Caenorhabditis elegans: one gene and its partner. The protein of the gene in region 1 purifies or fractionates together with the protein of each later gene. This does not show direct contact. Each region holds a gene or a part of one and is shown on either strand. Other genes may lie near its edges. The genes, in order: mcm-7 and rnr-1.

Region 1 (5,219 bases):
AATAGGAAAAAAACGAAGAAAAATTGAATATCGCTATCAAAATTCGAAAAATGTGTCTTTTTCCGAGAATCAAGCCCGTAAATCGACACAAGCGCTTCATTTAAAGAATTACTGTAGTTTTCTTTTTCGCTACGAGATATCTTGCGCGTCAAATATGTTGTGAAATACGCATTCTCAGAATTTCGTGATCTCTTAACGAACCTGGTCTTCTTAAAGTGCGGATTTGAAGCCACCTCGATGCCTTTCAGCGTATTTTCATGCATTTGCCGAATAAAATTCGGATCAGTTCTTCTAGCATTTGTAGGATCCACTATATCGCAGATTTTGTCTCTGATTTTCGTCACTTTATCGTCGCTTCCAAAATCGAAGCCTCGCATTGTGAACGGCTCTTCTCGGCGTTTTTCCTCCTTTGGTTTCGGAATTTCGCCAAGTTTGAAGCTGCTTTTCTCGCCAAGAAACGGTCGACTTTTGAGCTTCCGGGTGTCTTGTTTTTGTGAAAACGACACATCAACGGTTCTATCTTCGTCTTCATCAATTATTATCCCGTCTAGCTCGTCATCCAGACCATTTTGTTGAGAACGAGATTTGAATGGAGGCTGCTGCTGAGCTGAATCCGAAGGTGTCTCCACGACTATTTTTCGACGGGGTTTTCCGATAAAATACGGACTAATCCCATTGCGAGCAAGAGCCGTCGGTGGGTAAAGATCATCGTTATTTTCGCCGGTTTCGGGCCGTTTTCTCATTCCACTGGTCACATTGAGTTTTACCCGTTTTGGAGAATACATAATCTGAAAATAGTGTTTTTTGACCTGAAAACCCCCACAAAAAAATATTCAAAAAGACTGGGGTAACTTGAACAACTTAAAGGCAAAGGAATAATTGAGCTTAAAATTTATATCGTCTAATAAAATAAATCATAAACAATCGGAAGTGAGAGAAGAAAGGTATGGAATGTATCCAAATGGAATTATTCGAATACTGTTGTGCGATCATTTGTCTACTTTTGCTGCTTTCCATTTTCCCATGTGGTGATCTGAAAAATTCGTGTTAAAACTTGAATAATAAGGCGTATTTAATCACCTTGAGAGTTGCCTCTGGCTTCTTAACAGCGGCCTTTCCTCCGACTTGCTTGGTGCACTTGCGGGTGATCTCGGCAGCGATTTGCGAGTAACGCACGTAGTTGAGTCCAGCGGCTCTCCAGGCGACCATTTTCTGAAAAACATGAATAAAAAAGAAATATTGGAAAAAAGCGACTAATTTTGCACAAGAAAACAAAGAAAAACCGCAATTTTACTAATGAAATCTATCGATTTTAGCAATTAGAAAAGCTATTTTACAATTTGCGATTAAAAAACATTAATTTCATCTAAAAACAGCCAAAAATCAATGAAAAATCACAATTCTACTCTTGAAACAAAAAATGTGTCGTTTCTGCAGCAATTTATCGATTTTCGAAATTATAAAAGCTATTTTACAATTTGCGATTAAAATGTACATTAATCCCATCTAAAAACTAACAAAAAACCAAGAAAAACCACAATTTTACTGATGAGACAAAAAAAAACATTTTTTCTCAGAATTGCCTGTCGTTTCTGCAGCAATTTATCGATTTTAGCAATTATTTTACCAATTTTAATTAAAATAAACATTAATTCCATCTAAAAACAACCAAAAATCAATGAAAAAACGAACAATTTTCTTTAAAAACAGCTAAAAATGGCACAGTCCATGTCGGAAAAATATAAGTTAAAGGCGCATAGACTTTCGCACTCTGGTGGGTCTCGCAACGACATGAAGGAGGCAAACGCGCGAAATTCGAACGGACGACGCTGCCATCTGCCGCACATTCCTTCACTCTCTCGCTCATTTATTATCGGTTTTGTGCTACAAGAGCAGCTTTTTTCGCGATTTTTTCAGTTTTTCCAATTAAAAAATAAAATTTCCATCATTTCAGCCCGGCTCTATAATCCTATAATCTCACTCACCATGAAAACCACCACTTACAACACAGACTGGGCTGCCGAGAAGACGAAAATTCGCAGTTTCTTCGACGAATACTATGTGGACAATGAGGACGGATCTGGAAAGGTATTCCCGAATTTGGTGTATAAATGAGTATTTAAATTCAACTTTTAGGCATTCCCATATCGTGATCAAGTCTTTGAAATTGCTCGCCGCGACAAGCAGGCAATCGTTGTGAATGTTGACCATATTAAGGAATCTGATATTCCAGATGCTCTTGAACTCTCAGAAGCCATTACTTCCAATACAAAGAGATACGAAGTCCTGTTCAAGGACACAATTTCGGATATGATCCAGGACTATCTCGGAGACAAGCAAGCGCCAGTAATCGATGCTCTTGATGCCTACATGTTCCAGCGTCTTCATATGGATAGGAACGAGGGAGCCGCCAACGAGGAAGTTTCTCTTCAGGACAAACGCAAGAAATACCCACCACAGCTCCTTCAACGCTTCGAGGTCTACTTCACAACGGACGATGCCGCCCATGAAACGTGTGTCCGAAACATCAAAGCCACCGAGATCGGGCACTTGGTCTCCATGAAGGGAGTTGTTATCCGTGCGACCGAGGTGAAACCTTGTGTTGAAGTCATGACCTACACTTGCGATACTTGTGCCGCCGAAGTCTATCAGCCTGTGAAGGGAATGCAATTCACCCCACCGGTCAACTGTCCCAACAAGGAATGCGTTGAGGCAAAAGCCAACGGAAGACTTCACATGCAGCTTCGTGGATCGAAATTCGTCAAGTTCCAAGAGCTCAAAATTCAAGAGCTCAGCGAGCAAGTCCCAGTAGGATCGATTCCTCGCACAATGACTGTTCACGTTTACGGGGAGATGACGAGAAAGTGCAATACTGGAAATGTCGTGCATGTTTCTGGAGTATTCTTGCCAATTATGCAGTCTGGCTTCCGACCAACTGGAGGACTCGTTGCCGATACCTATTTGGAAGCTCACGTAAGTTAAAACTTGAAAATTATCAAATTATTCGTTACTCTTCAGTACATCAACAATCTTGACGACAACCCAACTTTCAATGGAGTTCAATCCGCCGAACTGGAAGTTCTCCGTCGCAAAGGAGACAACTACGAAACTCTTGCCGCCTCCATCGCTCCGGAAATTTTCGGCCACGTTGATGTTAAAAAGTGCCTTTTGATGGCTCTCGTTGGAGGAAATGACAACAGCTCGAACGGAATGAAAATTCGTGGATGCATCAACGTTCTGATGATGGGAGATCCAGGAGTTGCTAAATCTCAACTTCTCGGCTACGTGAACCGGTTGGCTCCACGATCTCAGTACACTACTGGTCGTGGTTCTTCTGGAGTTGGTCTCACGGCCGCTGTGATGAAGGATCCCGTCACTGGAGAGATGTCTCTCGAGGGTGGTGCCTTGGTGTTGGCCGACGGAGGAATTTGCTGCATTGACGAGTTCGATAAGATGATGGATCACGATAGAACTGCGATCCATGAAGTTATGGAGCAGCAGACCATCTCGATTGCCAAAGCTGGAATCATGACGACACTCAACGCTCGTACGGCTATCATCGCCGCTGCCAATCCAGCCTACGGAAGATATAACCCAAATCGTTCCATTGAGCAGAACGTTGATCTTCCAGCTGCACTTCTCTCCCGTTTCGATTTGATTCTTCTCATGCAGGACAAGGCTGATCGTGAGAACGACAAGATTCTCGCTGAGCACATCACATATGTTCATCAGCACGGTTGCCATCCAAATCGTGAGAAGAAGGATCTCATCTCGCTTGAGACACTTCGCGAGTACATTTCTCTTTGCAAGACGTATACTCCAACTGTCGATCCAGCTCTTCGAGAACGTATTGTCGAGGCATACGTTGAGATGCGCAGAGATGCTAGATATTCGTCCGATCCAACATTTGTGTCGCCAAGAATGATTCTAGGAATCGTCAGAATGGCGACAGCTCGTGCTAAGCTTCGTCTATCCACGATTGTCGACGAAAGTGACGTTGAAGAAGCTCTCCGTTTGATGCAATTCGCTAAGGACTCGCTCAGACCAGAACAGAACAAAATTGAGAAGTAAGTTTTCAGAAAATTATTTATAGCGAATATTTTAATCATAAAATTATTTTCTTTTCAGGCGCATGGCTCCAGTCGATGCTGCATTCGCCGTTCTTCGTGAGCTCTACCATGCCGACAACGCCCCGATCGCCATCTCAAACGCCATTCAAAGATGCGCTCGCAAGGGAATCAGCGAGGTTGCTCTCAAGAAATGCCTGGATCAATACACTGCTAACGGTCTCTTGGTCATGGATCGCCAGAACATTGTGTTCGCTATGAATTAAAATTAATTGTATAATTTCGACGAATTGCCTTTTTAATTTTCACCCCCTCCCACATTTAATCACACACTATCTAAATAACTATCGTAAGATTGTACTATGTTTGACAATTTTCACAATTTTTTCCTTCAACACATTCGTATTCTGATCTCAAATTTTTTTCGTTGTTTTTTTTTGTTTCGCCTTTACGGAGAATGATGCCGATGAGCATAATAAATTGATTATGGAATTAAATTTGGAATAGTTTATTTCAAATACACGTAGTTTTCAGTAGATTCTAACCCGTAAGTAGTCACCGATTTTAAAATAGTTATTTAATATTAATTACAAATTTCTTTTCCTCCGTAAGATCCGAATCACTTTCTTGCGATTTTCTCGTGCCACGTCACTCGTTGGATCCAAGATCAGTGCGATTTCGTATTCTTTCAGAGCCAAATCGTACTTCTGATTAAGATGAAGAATTGCTCCGTAGTTGGCGTGAGCCGCATACGAATTCGGTTGAGCTTCCATCACTTTTCTGTAGAAAGTTTCAGATTCCACGTGGTTCTGAGTTTGTTGCAGAAGATTCGCGATTCCTTGCAGAGAGTCGAGATGAGTTGGATCCAGATGGAGAGCTTTTCGATAGAAGAGCAACGAGCGATTGTAGTTTTGCTGAAACGGATTTATTAATGATTTGTTTATTGTGGAGACGCAGAAAAATTCGCTTTTTAAATCGAGGTGAAAGCGCGCTCCAACGCCAAACTTTGGGTCTCGTTAGGTATTGGCGGGAAACTCAGAAATTCAAACATTTTGCCATTTTTAAATGTGTTCCGTTGTTTTTTTAATGAGACACAAGACAAAATTAGGGAAACCGCGCATTTTTAAATAAGCTTTATTCCAACATAAACTA
Region 2 (5,581 bases), on another chromosome or scaffold:
CTAACCTTCCCCAAGATTCCCAATGCCTTGTGTTAAATACTCTGCGTATATGTCTACGTCATCAAACATCTGCAGGCCCATTGAATCATTCAAATAATTTTCCACCACCACCCGTTGCCATACTTTTCACCCGACACCACAACCACTAACACCATTCCCTTGACCTCCTCCTGGTGTGACGTAGCGCACTGTTCAAAAGCAATGACCAACTGGTTGTTGGGTGCCTGTGACGTCAATTTGTGACGTAGGCAAGAATGGGGGTTACGGTAGATTGGGAAAATTTGAATGCTTATTTCAGGATGGTAGACTCTTCATCGACCGTGATTCTTCAGTATTTCCGGTTATTCTCAACTTTCTAAGAGATCATGAGAAATGTTCATTGCCAAAAGACGAATATCAGCTTATGCGAATCTTACGTGAAGCGGTGTAAGTTCGGAACAAATCAGAATATTGCAAAAAGTATAAATCATTATAGATTTTTCAAAATTGGACCACTTCGAAACATGATAGAACATAAGCTGCGAACATTTTGTACTTGCCCACCTGAACTTCCATCAACTCCAATACCGAACCAAATCTTGACCCAAAAAGAAAATGTTCCGATTGTCCCACGTAATCTTCTTCTTTCGAAACCACCTCCACCTCCACCACCACCACTTCCGTCATTGATGCAGCCGAAGGATACTGTACAAATTCCGATGAGAAAACCTCCAACTGGCAGAAATTCCAAAAAAATTAAAACGTCTGCAGATTCGATTAGTCTTCCAAGGAACTTTACGTGAGATTTGGATATCTTTTATCTATTAATTACTTACAAAAGTTTATTTTCAGACATATTGCACATGTTGGTTGGAATGGTGCATCGGTACTTTTTGATAAGAAAATGACTGATGATCCGACTGTGAGGAAAATCTGTGATGCTGCTGCAGAGGCAGTTGATCTTAGTGTGAGTAACTTTCTTGAAAATTAGTAGAATATCTATAGAATTATAAAATTAAAATTCATTTATCTATTTTCAGGCGGTATACAATGTTGTCAACAAAAATGCGGATGAGGAGAGCCATAGCGTGGAAGTGCTCATAACTGGAGGATTAATGCAGTCAAGAGATGGAACATCTCGTCACTAACCATTTGAATATATCTGTGTCAAAATAAATTATTTATGTCATGTCTTGCATGCCAACAGATACGCGTTTTTCGAATTTTCGAAAATTCGCAATCACAGCTGGTGGTTTTTTATTGTCTGAATTGACCGACAGCAAATTTTAGTGATCTCTGACAAAACATCAGAAAATAAAAAACTACGCTTTTTTGTCCGCAGTTTGAAAATTTAAGGAAAAACTGAATATAAATATTATTTCATCGAAACATGTTTTTTTCTTTAAAAAATTACCGTACTCTTTCAAAGGCGCACGCATAAAGTTTTTAAATACAATATTTCGTGTCGAGACCATTACAGTAACCCGCGGCAAAATTGTGTTTTACAGCTTTTATTTTCGGGGTTTCTTCTGATCTTATGCATTTTTATGTGGTTTTATTTTGAATTTTACGTTTTTTTTTAAATTTCAGAGCAATGAAATGCGATTATCGGACTTGTCCTAAAGGGCGGAGCCATGGTTAGAGGCGGTGCTTGTGGTGCCGAAGGGTATAAATAGATTTTTTCCTCACACAGAAAACTAAACACATTTTTTGTTTAAATGAAATTCTTCAGCTGTGAATTAATATTTCATTTCAAACTGCCGTAGTTAGAAATGCTCAGGACCGTGGATTTTCGGTTTGAATTTCTAGGCCAATTTTGTGTGTTTCGACATTAGCTCACTTCTATCAGAAAACCATATTGAAGCCAGAATTCGTAGGAAAATATAATGTATTCTGTTTCACTGTAATACTTGTTTTTTCTATGAGACCAAGATTTCAATAATTCGTTTTCCTTTTGAATTTGAATTCCGATGGAGCGCGTTTGTTTGGTCTGCGTCTCGTTTTCGCGCGTTCCTCTATTACCTAGGCGCGAAAACTAGTAAATTTGAGATGAACTGGTCATTTGAAAATTCTCTCCGCTCCTCCATTTTCACTCTTTTCTTCTCAAATTGTTAATAATTCATCTTTTCCAGTTATGCAACGTTACAACAGCACTTATGTTGTCAAGCGGGATGGGCGAAAGGAAGATGTACACTTCGACAAGATCACTTCCAGAATTCAGAAGCTGAGCTATGGATTGAACATGGATTTTGTCGATCCGGTTTGTTATTAAACACAAGTTCAATGATGAATTAAATTTTCCAGGTCGCTGTTGCAATCAAAGTTATCAGTGGCTTGTACAAAGGAGTGACAACTGTTGAGTTGGATAATCTTGCTGCAGAGACTGCTGCTTCCATGACCACACAACATCCGGAATATGCTCTTCTTGCCGCTCGAATCGCCGTTTCGAACTTGCACAAGAAAACGAATAAGGTGTTCTCGGAAGTTATGAAAACCCTTCACGAGTTCCATCATCCTCATACCGGAAAACACGCACCAATGATCAGTGATGAGACTTGGGCTATCATTGAGAAGAATGCTGATGTTAGTTTTCCTAGGAATTGCATTTATTCAAAAAAATTTCATTTCAGAAGCTGAATTCCGCCATCGTCTACGATCGTGACTATTCCTACACCTATTTCGGATTCAAAACACTGGAGCGTTCCTACCTTCTCAAGATAAACAAGGAGATTGTCGAGCGCCCACAGCAGATGTTGATGCGTGTTTCTATTGGAATCCATGGAGATGATATTACTTCCGCAATCGAGACCTATAATCTGATGTCGGAGCGTTACATGACCCATGCGTCCCCAACTCTCTTCAATTCGGGAACATGCCGTCCTCAGATGTCTTCATGCTTCCTTCTGACAATGAGTGAAGACTCCATTCTCGGAATCTACGATACATTGAAGCAGTGTGCTCTTATTTCAAAAAGTGCCGGAGGAATCGGACTCAATGTTCACAAAATTCGCGCCACTGGATCTGTGATCGCTGGAACTAATGGAACATCTAACGGACTCATACCAATGCTTCGTGTCTACAATAATACTGCTCGTTATGTTGATCAAGGAGGAAACAAACGCCCAGGAGCATTTGCTATTTACCTGGAGCCATGGCACGCCGATATCTTCGAGTTTGTATCTCTCCGCAAGAACACTGGACCGGAAGAGGAACGTGCCAGAGACCTGTTCCTTGCTCTTTGGATTCCAGATCTCTTTATGAAGCGAGTCGAGAAGGATCAAGAATGGTCGTTGATGTGCCCATGTGAATGTCCAGGACTTGATGATTGCTGGGGAGAGGAGTTCGAAGCTCTTTACGCCAAGTAAGTATCTCCTGGTTCTTATTTTTTTAATTACCGAAGTGCGATATCCAGACAGAACTTTAAGAGTACTGCTTGGACTGAGTTTACTAACTTCGAATATGAAATAGTTGATCGATAACCGGAATATACTCAAAAAAAAAGGTGTGCTCCGGACAAAAATCAACTAACAAAAACTTTTAAACAGTGAAGTTAAATTTGCAAAGTTCATATCAAAATTTCCAGATACGAAGCCGAGGGACGAGTCCGCAAAACGGTGAAGGCCCGCAAGCTCTGGGAGCACATCGTTTCCAACCAAATCGAGACCGGGCTTCCATACATCACCTACAAAGATGCCGCCAATCGCAAGTCTAACCAGCAAAATCTTGGAACTATCAAGTGTTCCAACTTGTGCACTGAAATCATAGAGTACTCTGCTCCAGATGAGATTGCAGTTTGCAACCTTGCTTCCATTGCTCTCAATCGCTACGTGACCCCCGAGAAAAAGTTCGACTTCGTCAAACTGGCTGAGGTGACTAAAGTTATAACCAGAAATTTGAATAAGATTATTGACGTCAACTACTATCCAGTCGAGGAGGCTCGCAACTCTAATATGCGCCATCGCCCAATCGGGCTTGGTGTCCAAGGACTCGCTGATTGCTTCATGTTGATGCGTTACCCATTCACTTCGGCAGAAGCCAGAGATCTCAACAAACGAATCTTCGAAACCATCTACTACGCTGCATTGGAAGCCAGTTGTGAATTGGCTGAGTTGAATGGACCATACTCGACATACGAAGGATCTCCAGTATCGAAAGGACAGCTTCAATTTGATATGTGGGGAGTCACTCCAACCGATCAATGCGATTGGGCCACTCTTCGCAAGAAAATTGCAAAGTAAGATTAAAATACTCTTTCGAATCTGATTAAACTACTTATTTACAGGCATGGTATCCGCAACAGTCTTCTGATGGCTCCAATGCCAACTGCTTCCACTGCTCAAATTCTCGGAAACAATGAATCCATCGAGCCATACACTTCGAACATCTACTCTCGCCGTGTTCTTTCTGGAGATTTCCAGATTGTGAATCCTCACATGCTCAAGGATTTGGTGGAAAGAGGATTGTGGACTGATGAGATGAAGAATCGTCTGATTGCCAACAATGGATCCATTCAAAACATTGATGGAATTCCATCCGACATCAAGGAACTTTATCGCACAGTGTGGGAGATCTCTCAAAAAGACATTATTGAGATGGCTGCTGATCGTGGAGCATACATTGATCAATCCCAATCTCTTAACATTCACATGGCCAAGCCAAGCTACGCCGGTATCACATCAATGCATTTCTACGGATGGAAGAAGGGACTCAAGACTGGAATGTACTATTTGCGTACCAAGCCAGCTGTCAATGCAGTTCAATTCACTGTGGATAAGAATGCGCTGAAAACTAACCAACAAGCTGAGACGCCAGCCACCGTGGCCGAGTCGCAAGATGAAGGATGCCTCATGTGCTCCGGATAATCATTTTTTCTTTCACCCGTTGATCATGTTTGTACATTCCCAAATTGCTCACTTTTTCACTTTAATCTGTTATACTGATAACCCTATTTTGCTCGCGGTTACTCATTTTTTCTAAAGTTTTAATGGTCAATAAACTGACAATCTGAGTCCTCGAGCGATTTGAATTGCAGGAGCTGAAAAATGTGGAACCGTGTTAGGTTTACATCCGAAACTTCGGAAGTTTTCCTCTTCTCATGCTCTAGTAGTTTTTTTCCTAAATACTCTCTCAGCAACATCATGGTGCAACAAAAGTGGGTCTCGACTGAAGGTGTACGTGGGTAATGTTTAGTGAACCGTCAATCGAGCAGATTTCAAATGCGCCCTTTCGATTCTCTTTTCGTGTGCTCAATGAGCCGGAATAGAAACATTGAACTATGCGTAGAGCTCCTCTCGTCAGATGGGCCCCCGGTTCTTAGCGAGATTAGCTTGATTCTTGGTTTTTTTGCTCATTGCTCTTTTTTTCAAATAAACTACTACTCGTTTCCTCCCTGTCTCGTCATTGGAAGCTGTTCATCGTCTCTTTTGTCTTTTTTTGGGTTCTTTTTCCGTTTTTGCTCATTTCGACTTCAAAACGATTGATGACTTTGTTTCGGTTTGGCTTTTTTGGCTCAGAAGAGCACTCAGAGAAGCTATGAGACACACGAAATGATGAAGATGATGATGCTTCTGTCGGAACTTTTGTGATTCTTTTTTTTTTGGAA

Evidence for each region.
Region 2: the proteins of mcm-7 (region 1) and rnr-1 fractionate together in Caenorhabditis elegans (co-fractionation; one large-scale study listed by BioGRID). This does not show direct contact.

The regions. Positions count from the first base shown.
Region 1 is NC_003283.11:4,345,212-4,350,430, forward strand, and holds mcm-7 (DNA replication licensing factor MCM7), read left to right. Parts: upstream 1-1,954; 5' UTR 1,955-1,986; coding exon 1,987-2,088; intron 2,089-2,136; coding exon 2,137-2,973; intron 2,974-3,018; coding exon 3,019-4,067; intron 4,068-4,128; coding exon 4,129-4,333; 3' UTR 4,334-4,557; downstream 4,558-5,219. Other genes in the region: figl-1 (Fidgetin-like protein 1), read right to left, coding at 202-785; hpo-18 (ATP synthase subunit epsilon, mitochondrial), read right to left, coding at 998-1,033, 1,081-1,209; F32D1.3 (dolichyl-phosphate-mannose--protein mannosyltransferase), read right to left, coding at 4,655-4,981.
Region 2 is NC_003281.10:9,224,781-9,230,361, reverse strand, and holds rnr-1 (Ribonucleoside-diphosphate reductase large subunit), read left to right. Parts: upstream 1-2,111; 5' UTR 2,112-2,113; coding exon 2,114-2,239; intron 2,240-2,283; coding exon 2,284-2,562; intron 2,563-2,609; coding exon 2,610-3,340; intron 3,341-3,387; exon of another isoform or gene 3,388-3,512; intron 3,513-3,562; coding exon 3,563-4,213; intron 4,214-4,261; coding exon 4,262-4,841; 3' UTR 4,842-4,987; downstream 4,988-5,581. Other genes in the region: T23G5.3 (uncharacterized protein), read left to right, coding at 299-426, 476-778, 832-946, 1,020-1,127. UniProt on the Caenorhabditis elegans protein: Provides the precursors necessary for DNA synthesis. Catalyzes the biosynthesis of deoxyribonucleotides from the corresponding ribonucleotides.